Drosophila melanogaster: one gene and its partner. The protein of the gene in region 1 interacts with the protein of each later gene in a pairwise test. Each region holds a gene or a part of one and is shown in the gene's direction. Other genes may lie near its edges. The genes, in order: Cks85A and Skp2.

Evidence for each region.
Region 2: the proteins of Cks85A (region 1) and Skp2 interact in a two-hybrid assay, tested with the Drosophila melanogaster proteins (2 studies listed by BioGRID).

Annotation. Positions count from the first base shown.
Region 1 is NT_033777.3:8,714,687-8,720,692, reverse strand, and holds Cks85A (Cyclin-dependent kinase subunit 85A), read left to right. Parts: upstream 1-2,236; 5' UTR 2,237-2,356; exon of another isoform or gene 2,357-2,650; coding exon of another isoform or gene 2,651-2,844; intron 2,845-3,351; coding exon of another isoform or gene 3,352-3,568; exon of another isoform or gene 3,569-3,797; intron 3,798-4,124; exon of another isoform or gene 4,125-4,450; intron 4,451-4,813; exon of another isoform or gene 4,814-4,877; 5' UTR 4,878-4,895; coding exon 4,896-4,954; intron 4,955-5,024; coding exon 5,025-5,256; 3' UTR 5,257-5,493; downstream 5,494-6,006. Other genes in the region: CG11760 (uncharacterized protein), read right to left, coding at 696-889, 1,105-1,360; TMEM216 (transmembrane protein 216), read right to left, coding at 2,651-2,844, 3,352-3,568; CG8112 (uncharacterized protein), read right to left, coding at 5,517-6,006.
Region 2 is NT_033777.3:4,334,332-4,339,758, reverse strand, and holds Skp2 (S-phase kinase-associated protein 2), read left to right. Parts: upstream 1-2,084; 5' UTR 2,085-2,152; coding exon 2,153-2,211; intron 2,212-2,416; coding exon 2,417-3,290; intron 3,291-3,350; coding exon 3,351-3,750; intron 3,751-3,813; coding exon 3,814-3,973; intron 3,974-4,029; coding exon 4,030-4,216; 3' UTR 4,217-4,348; coding exon of another isoform or gene 4,349-4,642; 3' UTR 4,643-4,880; downstream 4,881-5,427. Other genes in the region: CG1103 (uncharacterized protein), read right to left, coding at 255-715, 1,456-1,687; CG14645 (uncharacterized protein), read right to left, coding at 4,349-4,642.

The DNA of each region.
Region 1 (6,006 bases):
TTTATATAAAGTAGTTTCATTAAAGTACACACATGGTCTAGACTTTTAACTGGGCTTAATTATGTTGTTCTCCGCCTTTTGAATATTGGTATGAACTACTAAACGCTGACTCTTAGTGGTAATGAATTTTTTTAATGGCCTTTCGGCCATTTGTTTTTCATGATTTTGATGCTGACTAGATTTTGTGAGACATTCCACTGATTTTTTTACAATTCTTTTTAAGATTCGAGCTATCTGTGAACTATTATAAATTATTATTTCCACACATCAAATTTGTTTTTCGGCTGTTTTTCGATATTTTTCTTTTTACAAAAAAATTTTCATCTTAAAATTGTGAAAATTATTCAAGTTTTAGGTTTTGCTTGTTGTCTTATATTGGTTCCAATTGATGCTTAAATGTTAACAATTTTTGTATATAAAACCGTTAAATATATGTATATAAGAGTGTGTGTATGTTATCATAAACCTTACTATACATAATTATTAATATGCTACATATGTGTTTTGTTTTGTTTTTTTTTTCTTTCTGTTTGGTTTCTCTTCTCCACGGCCATGAGCAATTCAGCTGCCTACTGCTTTTCAAATTCATTAAATTTCCTTACACCGCATATTATCCTTTTTCGATCTTATAGATTGCTAAACTTTCGCATGTATATTTGCTGCTAGTTGGCTGTTGGATGTTTCTGTCTATATGGCTAATCATAAGTTACTGGACGACACAGCGAGAAAACGAAGACGATGGCATACCACACCTCGGTCAGGTAAAGGGCGATCTGCAGCGTGCACAGGCAGTACTCCAGGCGCAGTCGGTAGGTCTGGAGCAGCAGTAGATAGGAGACGCCCACAAAGCAGGGGGCGGTCATGAAGACCGACAGTATGGCCGACCAGCCTGTGATAGAAAAGCAGAAGAGTTCATTAGAATCTGATTGTAAAAGCCATAGATACTATTCTATTACAATTATAAATAAGGATGATAATGAGTTAATTAGTATTTCTTAAGTCTAATGGTTTGGTTTGATTAAACGATTGATAACGCCATTGAGGATGATTCTATTGTTTTAGAATATCCTATAATTAGACCAGCCAGCAGGCGGGAGCTTCTACCTCGATCGGCCAGCGAACTCATGCGCCCCATTATCAATCGGATCGTCTCAAAGACAATGAAGCTAATCATCACCCCCGTGTCCAGGGCTAGAGTATGTCCCGTGTAGCTGAGATTGATGGCCTTCAGGAGGCCCATGGCCATCTCGCAACAGGCGAACATGCCAAAGTAGAACGAGTTGAGGTAGATCAACACCTCGTAGTTCATGCTGGGATTTGGCTTCTTCGGCACGAGCGGTGGCGGACGCTTGGGCGGCATCTTTCTGCCGGCTTAGCACCTCCTTCTGCTGCTTCTCCTGTTACCCCTCGATGTCTACGGCAAATTGGACCGATTTGATCTCCCGGATCGCTCACACGGCGGCGTTGCTCACGTTGGGCACTGTATTTATAGACTGACCATAATAATAACGCGAACCTGCCGTGCTTGGCCAATGCAGCGGCAGCGGCATCGACATCGGCGGTCTCACGGTTTGTCGCTGCGAAATGTGCTGTTTATTTGAATAATGTGCTGCTGGTCGTTGTCGCCTTTTATTTGTTTTCTCTGCTCGCTGTTTGGGTCAGCATTGGCCGGCAGATCGCCTGCCTAGAAATGTGGGGGAGAATGATTTCACTGGCGGCTAGTTGGGGGGAAAAAACTACTAAAAACTCCCTGGGCGTTATGCTCTACAGGGCCCAGGGCCATTAAATGGTTACCTTGAAATTCAGGATAGGTTTAGGGTGAATATATGAAAACCATTGTTGGAATTTTAATTATTTTTAAAAACTCAAAGCGTTATGCCTCGCTAAAGTCCCGTGAATCTCTCTCCTGTGAATCGTACAGGGCATGTTCACTAGACCAAAGACCAAACGGAGAGCCCTCTCATCTTGGCCATTACAGTCAGGCTAACTTGCCCGCAGTGGGCCGTGTATATTACATTCAAATTAGAAGTGTACATTGCACCTAGGGGACAGCAGCGGTGTTGCACGAGCCGTGCAGTTCGCATATAATTTTAGACCATCAGAGCCGTATAAAAATACCAGAACCGAGCGGGTCCGAGGAGCAACTGCGCCAGCAGGGAGGCAACGCCACAAAGGCCGGGCAAAAGAATGCAACCAAGAAATGCAAATTAAATGCAGCTTTGCTTTTGATAGAATCGGACGCGTCGTGTTTCGCTGCGATGTGATTTCCGCGGGCGCGAATGATCTGTGCGGATTATATAAGTTTATAAAGGTTCACGTACCTTGTTGAAAGTCCTCCTCAACTGCCAGCCATTGGGTATGTTATCGGGTTGTCTTGGCACGGATTCCTAGGAGGTCTAGTAGGATCTAGATTTTTTGTTTTGTTTTTATGTGCGGTGGCTTAGTGTGCATTTAAGTGGCTTAGTTTTGAGGCCTTGGCGAATCGTTTGATGTGAAATTGCCAGAGGAAAGTGTTTCGTCTTCGTCGTAGTCGTCGCTCGGCTGTGGATGCTTCTACTCCTTCTCCTCCAGGTGGGAGTGTTAGTGCTGGCTTGGTCTTGATCTCGATCTTGGTCGTTGACGTGGCGGCGGCAACGCGGCTTATCAACTGCTAGGTGTATGTGACGGGGCGACACATTGTACAAATGAATATGCTGGCGTAGACTAGTTCAGCACCTTGTAGGGTGATCATTAAGGCACTCAGAATAATTTCGAGTTTGAGAACAAAGGTTTGAAAACAACACAAGTAGATAACAATAGCAAGACTGGGCAGTGTTAATATTACGGATGCGGTTGCTTGCCAGCCTGCAAAGAGAGAAAAACAAGGAAAATGTTAGCTACAGATGCACGGAAAATCGTATAGTTCGTCTACTTGTTTATAATTAAGTGTATTCGATTGAAAGTGATTCAGTGTTTTAAAGTATTATACTAATAATTTCATGTTTACACATTGCGATAATTAATATTAACAGCTCCAATTGCTTTTCCAATAACTCATTTCGATGATTCGCTTTGATAGATTTCCTTTGCATATTGCTTAATGTGCCAGAAGGGCGCCTTTCCCCTGCCACCATAAAACGCGTGTTTTCATCCGGGGTGATGACCATAATTACGCATACGCCGAGTGGGCTACATCATACATATATGTATGTATGCCCGTCCAAACGTTTATGGGTTATGGCCCCGGAGGTAGGGGGATGGCATGAAATGGGCATTGTGACCGGGCAAACAAATAATTTCGCCATGTCATCATCGCTGCCGGTGGACTTTTCCCACCCTTGCAGTAACATGGGGATCATGGGGATTACTCACCACGATCGCTTAGACTGCTCTTCCGCCCGAAGACAATGCGCACGGTCTCGATGATGCACAGTGAGAGCAGGATGCTGGCCTCCCGGGACAACGCGTTCTCGCCGTAGTTTAGATTAATCGCCTTAAGAACGCCCACGCCCACTTCGAAGGCGGCGTACATGCCAAAGTAGAACGAGTTCAGATACATAAGTATCTCATAGATGAGGCTGGCGTTCATGGTGCCCGCTACTGCGGAAACGAGTCCGTAACCGTTGCCGTATCCGTGTCCTCCTGCGTGGCGACCAGTTCCTCAAGGCGGCAGGTGCGTCGCCTCTAAATGATTGGATGTCACCTGGGCAGTTTGGAGCAGCTCCTCCCGCTTTTCCACTGGCAGCAGCAGGTGTTTCGGCTTCTCTACGCCAGCATTGGGACCTTTGGGCGGTACGTGGTGAGTGATACCTGCTGGACTGAAAAATATTTGCTAATTGCGGTCTGCTCGTATTTACCAATGCGCGCATACATACAGTCAAACTTCCTCAACTAGAACTTCATAAAATCAATCGAATTTATAGGTGGTTTTGCTGTGCCTATGTATCTACATATGTACATTGTATGCATTTATTTACTAGCATACCGTAACGGTAAATTCATTAAGCGACAATAGGGAGTACATATACATAAAGGTTTTAGGTTCTTAGAACCCATTTTCTTCATCACTAAAGGACACTTTTTATTGTAGTAGTAAAGTCGTATCTACTTATGGAAGTTTGACTGTATTTACGTATCGTCCTCACCTCTTCCACTGCTTTTTCTTCTTGTTCCCGTTCTACTTCGCCTTTCCTCTTCTTCTAGCTGCTCCACCGTTACTGTCTAAAGTCCCGTTGTCATGGGAGTAAGTGGATGTTATGTTATGTATATGAAATGCACGCAGGCGACAACTCTATGCTAATATTAAGTACATGCGTTCACGTTTATTTATACGCGTTGTTGTGCGTTGTTGTTGCCCGCTGGCCTGGCTGGTTGTTGTTGTTGTTGGTTTGTTGGCAAGAGACGAGGGGCTTATATAAAAAGGAAAGGAACCTCAAACGCACATGCACAAATGTGGCCATGGGCGAGTAACGGAGAAATTGCCGATTGCATTTGGAAAATGTGCGAGCCTGCGAGTTCCGGTCACACTGGAAATCACATATTATCCAATTGAGTTTTTCATTCGCTAAATATGTTAACATTTTCTAACAGCATCTTTTTACAAAGTACTCGTTTTTTTAACAAAATGGCTTTAAAATGGCTTTAAACATTGCAAAAATATTGTTATACAGAAAAAAGTTTATGTTCAATATATTAAAGCCCGCTAAGATCGTGCCATTAAAAACAGTACATTTGAGTTTACCGCCAAAGGTGCTGTTAACTGGACAGCTGATAACCAAATCGATAACTTTATGTTCGATACGTGCAGCGATAACAATAGTATTTAGAATCGAATCAGTTGTGGCATATCTATCTGAATTTATTGACCTATTTTGGTAAAATTGCTTAATTTACCTCAGGTTTTCTGGCTTTTCGCAATGCCGGCCGATCAAATTCAATACTCAGAGAAGTACTTCGACGACAACTTTGAATACAGGTACGTTCAACTTGCGTTTCAGCATCCGTGAACTGTTTGTTTACACACAAACCACTTTCCCTCCCTGCAGGCATGTTATCTTGCCACCGGATTTGGCCAAACATGTGCCGAAGGCTCATCTGATGACCGAGACGGAGTGGCGCAACCTGGGCGTGCAGCAGAGCCCCGGCTGGGTGCACTACATGGTCCACGCGCCGGAGCCGCATGTGATTCTATTCCGACGCAAACGCATTCCGGCAGAGGACGCTCCACAGGTGGCAGCCGCTAATGCGGCTCAGGCCATCGCGAATCTCTGCGGTTAGGCGGAGGATGCCATGCCGCCGAGGAATGCTCTTCCAAGGACGCACTCGTCAATGCTCACGTAGTATTTCATAAGTTAGCATCAGGCAGCCTGATGTAAAATAAGAAACCATAGCTTTAGGGTTCAGCTGGGAAGTTCAAAGACACGAAACGAACTGAAGACATCGTTTCTGTTAATTTCATTAAGTTTATTTACCTAAAATACAAATCGAAGCGTACGCCCTGTGTACAGACAGTTTAAAAGTAGTGTTTAACTAATTGACTAATTGTAGCAGCGCCATACCGCCGGCAGCAGGCGATACGTCCAACTCTCGTTGCTTAGGTTGCAGTTCTTTAGGGCGTAATGCTCCATGGCGTATAGTGAGATCAGCGTGGCATTTCCCAGGATCAGAGAGAACCACAGAAAGATGTTGCCCATCACTTTTGGAGCACTCCGCATTAGGAATACCAAGGCAACACCCACGACCCCAAAGAAGAAGAACATCACTGGGAAGAACATTTGCAGGGCAAAGCCGAGAACCTGCTCATGGACCACAGCGGAGATCATGAACACTGCCAGCGAGGCGGCCACCTTGGAACCTCGGAACACATGAGTGTACATATCCTTGTACACGTACTCGTACAGCCAGTCGTGCACGACGACATTCCAGTTTCTGTAGTAGCCATCGTAAGTGTGCGACGTCCACCAGTCCTTGTAGAACATTCGATCACCGAAGCGTAGCAGCTCCGACGTGAAGTTCAGCCACGAGTGC
Region 2 (5,427 bases), 4.4 Mb from region 1:
GGGCAGTGCTGTGCGCTTTAGTTTGTCTTATTCCGATGAAAGATCGGCAGGCCAGTCAGGCGAAGTCATTGTACGCTTATTTAAACGAATATACCATAAACTGAAATGAGTATATAGACGGCCCTTGTTGTTGGCAAGGTAAAGGCATTAAGTAAGGCACAAGTACTTGAGCCACTGAGATTACTAGGTGTCGCTGCTCGTACGTTTGCCAAGCAACTTCGTAGAGGTTCATTTGGGAATCCTTCTCGCCTTCCTTAGTACAGCATTATGGCGGTCTTGTTTTTATCGTCACATGGCGCCTCCAGGCATTGGCGGTTGCGGAGGCCGAGTCGCTGGGCGTACAACAGGATGGCGATATTCAGCAGCACAACGACGGTGGATACCACGACCAGGTAAAAGCTGTAACCAAGATAAGCCAGTCCATTGCTGTACCAGTGCTGCTGCTGCTGCTCAGTTAAAAGAACGTTGTGTATGAAATATTGGTAGAACTGCACGAGCCAAGCTACAAACGCCACTATTTGCGCCCCCGCGGCGCATATGTTGGAAGTCAGGAGCAGCATCATTGTGCCTCCTTTTTTGGCCGCAGAGGCTGACTTTAGGACAGCGGCGATGGCAGCCACAGCGCAGGCCAGCAGTGCGAAACCGGTGCCCAAGGTAGTAAGTAGCCAGAGCCAGAAGCTAGTGTCGTCATTTTCTGTCCGAACAAAGGTATACACTGAAAATACGGTGTGAAATAACAAAAGTTAAACAGGATTGCTTTAAAAATTTTATATTTTATTTGCATCTCCAAAAGCTGTTAAGCTTCCACGACGTTTTTATTCTATGTTGCATATTTGTGGCTCGCAATATAATACCCTTGCAATTTTAAAAATTGTAAACCCCAAATTTCAACCATATTATATAAAAGCAAGTAAAATATGGTTCCCTATGTCCTCGCTTCTATTATATTTTTTGCGCCAAAAATTTCAATATTTTTCAATTTTGTTAAATAGAATGTAACTTCCCTTTAGCCCTAAAGTTTGTTGTGTCACTTGATTATTAATAAGAAAAACAAAAACAATTTTGGTTTTTACAATTTAATTTTTAAGCATATCCTTAGGATCTGCAAGATAAATAAATGTAATCGAAAAGTATACATAATGGTTAATTTTTGGATATGTCTGCACTGATCATGAGTATTATTCGGGTATTTAATTTTATCAACTCGCCCGATTATGTTTGTGATCTTCACAACTAAACAAATTTAAAAGTAAATCTATTTTTAACAACAGTCTTATCCAGGACAATATCGGTTTTCAACTAATACATGCCCCAATAATCAGCACATTTTCCTAATCGTATATTCATTCAGAAAGCGTCCCAAGAAGTTTAAAGAGGCTAATTCACGATGCAGGTAATGAGAAGATCACTCTCTATCTAGTTTTCCCTGCTATCTAGGCTACTTTGATTGCTCACCATCAACCGAATTTGTGCGGACTCCGAATCCGGGATTCAGGTGGTAGTTGCCGAAGAAGAGTCCGAAGTTGAATTCACCCTTGGCGTCCGACGAGTTCTTGCGGCGTGGAGTGGCCCGCACCCAGTGATTAGTGGTCATGCTGACGAGCAAGAGGCCAATAGCCAGGCAGCTGCCAAAGAAGGTGGAGAACACTAACGCCCGTGTGTGCAAGCTCATCTTGATAATGCTCATGGAAGACCGGTGGCATATGTAGAAGGCTATGCTGTTTTCACCATTAAGAAATGTCTAGGGCCCGACTCCAGCTGCAGCGAAGAAAGTTAGTAGGAAACGTTAGTAAGCGGAGGACGCAATGCCAGTGGCCTTGCAGCGTATTGCTTACCCTTTTATGACTATGTCGGCGGGATCAATTGCAAATATAGTCTTTGTTCGCGGAACAAAAGATTGTTGCACAGGTAAACAATTAATATAAACTGTCTTGCCCTTGTTTTTTTCTCAGAAGAGAAGACTGAGCGGATATTTTTTCTCAAAGAGTACGGTAGCATTAATTTGGGATTTGGTCTGGCAACCACGGCCCGTCTAGTATATTCGATAACGATACAATTCTCATACCAAAATGGCTCGACAACCCTGGTTCCATGCAAAAATAGCGCGAAGTTTTTGTGTTTACGGCGGTGAAAAAATAGATTTCGTGTAAATATGAGCAGTCGCAAGCACAGAGGCTCCGAAAACATGGAAAATTTGTGCCCGGTGACCAGGTGAGTTTTCCTTTGCTTGGGGTGTGGGTTCAAGCAGCAGACCACTGAACTGGTCGCGTGACGTCACACGCGCCACAAGTGTCCAAAAGAGGTCAAGAAAGTAACTTATTGAATTGCAGGGTTCTTGACCCTTTCTTTCATCAGCCATTCTGCTGATGAAGCACGATCGAACTGCACACTTTTAATAAATTTTCGACTATTGCAGAAAGCGCTCGACTAATAAGAACCACGTCTCTGTTGTGGGCGCTCTAGTTTCCACTACGAAGTCATCGCACTACGAGCACCCTTCCTCGCCCTCGGCACTAACTTTTGAGGCCCTAGAAGAGATGGGAATCGGAATGCTTGATTCCGAAGAAAGCAGCTCCTCAGCCCTCTCGGCCATCGCTTTGGCGGTTAGCGCCACCAGCGACGACAACTCAAATGAGACGACCCCGTGCGCCAGTGTGTCGCGCATGGCGCACCAGCTACAGCACACGCAACGGCTAAGTCTGGGCTCTACGGGGGACATCACACTGGATAGCCCAGCTGTGGAGGATTCACTGTCGATGTCCCGTCAATCGGCCGAGAAGCTGCAGATTCTGGCGCAGGCTAAGCGCTCGTCGTTGGGTTCTGAAGGTAGCGGCAATTCAAACTCGCCCAGCAAACGTTTGCGCAACCCCCTGGCTGCAGTCACCTGTAACAACCAGATTGATGGGACTGCTTCGCTCAATTTTCAGCCATCAACCAGCAGGTTGGCGCAAGTTCGCCAGGCAAAAAAGCCCTCGACAACAAATATTACAACCCGAATAGTGGCAGCGGACAGTTTCTTTGTGTTTCGCACCCCGGCCATGAGTGCCCACATCAACAGCGGCATAAACTACTTTGAAAGACTTTCAGACGAAATACTACTTGACATCTTTAAGTGGCTCCCGAAGAAGACGCTGCTGCGCATGGCTACCGTTTGTCGACGCTTTAACCGCTGCTCTCGCGATGAGACTTTGTGGACAAGGCTAGATTTGGGTTTGCGGACAATTAGACCAGGTGCCCTCGAGCAAATTGTACGGCGGGGAGTCCTTGTAATACGTCTGGCCCAGACTAGTGTAAGTTACATCTAACATTATGTTTTCGGGAAACAAGAGCATCTAATCTTTGAACTGTAGATCCAGGAGCCCGCATTTGCACCATATACAGAAGTGTTTAGGACCCGATTACAATATCTTGACCTGAGTATGGCTTCCATCACCCGAAGCTCACTGCTGACACTATTGTCCCACTGCCGCCAGCTAAAGAAAATAAGCTTAGAGAATATTGAGCTCGATGATGACATCTGTGCAGAGATCGCAAAGAATGAAGCTTTGGAGGCGGTCAATCTGACTATGGCTAGTGGCCTGACGTCCAACAGTGTTCGCCTGATGATGGAGTCACTTACCAGCCTAAGCAGCTTAAACATATCGTGGACTGACCTAAGTGCGGATGCTGTTACGGCGTTGGTTACCCACATTTCCCCCAACTTAATTCGGCTCAATATCGCTGGCTGCCGCCGCGTTTTGTTTGACTCGCGTAAGTAGTTCCCACCGTCTTCAATGATATATTTCCTTTTTGATTTGAATTTAATTTGTTTAGATGTTGCAACCCTGCAAAAACGGTGTCCTCAGTTGTTGGAGCTTGATCTATCTGATTGCAATAGTCTAACACCAACAGTCATTACTGCAATTATGAAGTTCAAGATGCTGGAATATTTGTCCGTCTCCCGATGCTATCTTATTCCAGCAACCAAATTTATGTAAGATTTTTCCAGCAAGCGTCTGATTAATCCCTACCCAGTCATTTTCCTTGCAGTGAACTTAAGAGTATGCCCTCGCTAACCTATTTAGACATATTTGGGATGCTGTCGGACACTGCAATGGAAGTCCTTGAGAAACAACTGCCAAAAATGGGTATAAACAAATTCATTCACAGTTCGGTATCCCGCCCGACTGTTGGCACGCGACGCACCTCCATTTGGGGTCTGCGCACGCGCGACTAAGTCTCGACTCTGCTGCTTCCGTTACCATTTGAATTTGTTTTGCTGCGTAAGCCACCCGTAACGCAGTTATTTTATTCTCAATTCAACAACATAAATAATCACATTTAGCTGTTCTTATTTTTGTGCGTTTGGTCACTGATCCGCTTCGCTAAGGGGCTCCACTGGTTTCTCCCATTCCCATTCCTCCCAGTTGACGCAGTTCTTGAGACTATCCATGAATCCTGTTTCGCTGGGGCACTTGATTTCAATGGCTGGTTTGTTAAGTGTCTCACACTTCCAATACGATGTGGCATCCCAATTGTTGCGGAAAACTACAATGTCTAGCTCGGCTTGGGTCTTGCAACCCGGCTGTCCGTCACCATCATAGGCGAGGGCAATGCCAAAAGAAATCACTAGTAGGGAGGTTAGAGCGAGCTGAACCTTCATCTTTCAAAAAATGTTCTATGGTCTACTGGAAGTACTCGAAGCCTTTTATAGTTACATAGTTGCAGCGGTATAGTATCCAAGTGCAGCTACTACCAGAAAATGCTTTTATAAATTGGCATTAATGTAAACACTCGAGAGAGGAAGGAAAAGATAACAGTACTTGCCCTTGACTCCAATCTGTTCAAACTAAAAAAGGTACAATGAGTCACCCAATTTTCCATTTAAAAATTCATTGTTTTTATACTATATTAAATATTTAAGAAAATAAACAAAAAATATGTCTTTTATCAAGGAAAGCATAATCAAGCCAATTCAAAACAAAATCATATAGGGAAACGACAAATATAAATATTTTCGATCTAGTTCGTAATCATAGGTTCAAGAACAAAGTTCGTATTGGACAGCCTGCCAAATTTAAAGATTCAGCAATATAAAAGTAACTAAAGCAAGAGAGAAGGCTATGGTCGAGTTCCTCGACTATCAGATACCCGTCACCCGTGGCAACATGGGTCAACTAACTTGCGCTGGGTATTTGTCTCTAGAATCTGTATGCTTAATCTCAACCTTCTAGCTTTTATAGTTCCTGAGATCTCGACTTTCATACGGACAGACGTACATGGCCAGATCGGCTATTGATCCTGGTCAAGAATATATGTACTTCATATGGTCGGGAACGCTTCCTTCTGCCTGTTTCAACGAATCTAGTATACTCTATTACTCTACGAGTAACGGGTAGAAATATAAAATTGAAACTATTTTGAGTCATCCCTCCAATTGGTAATTTT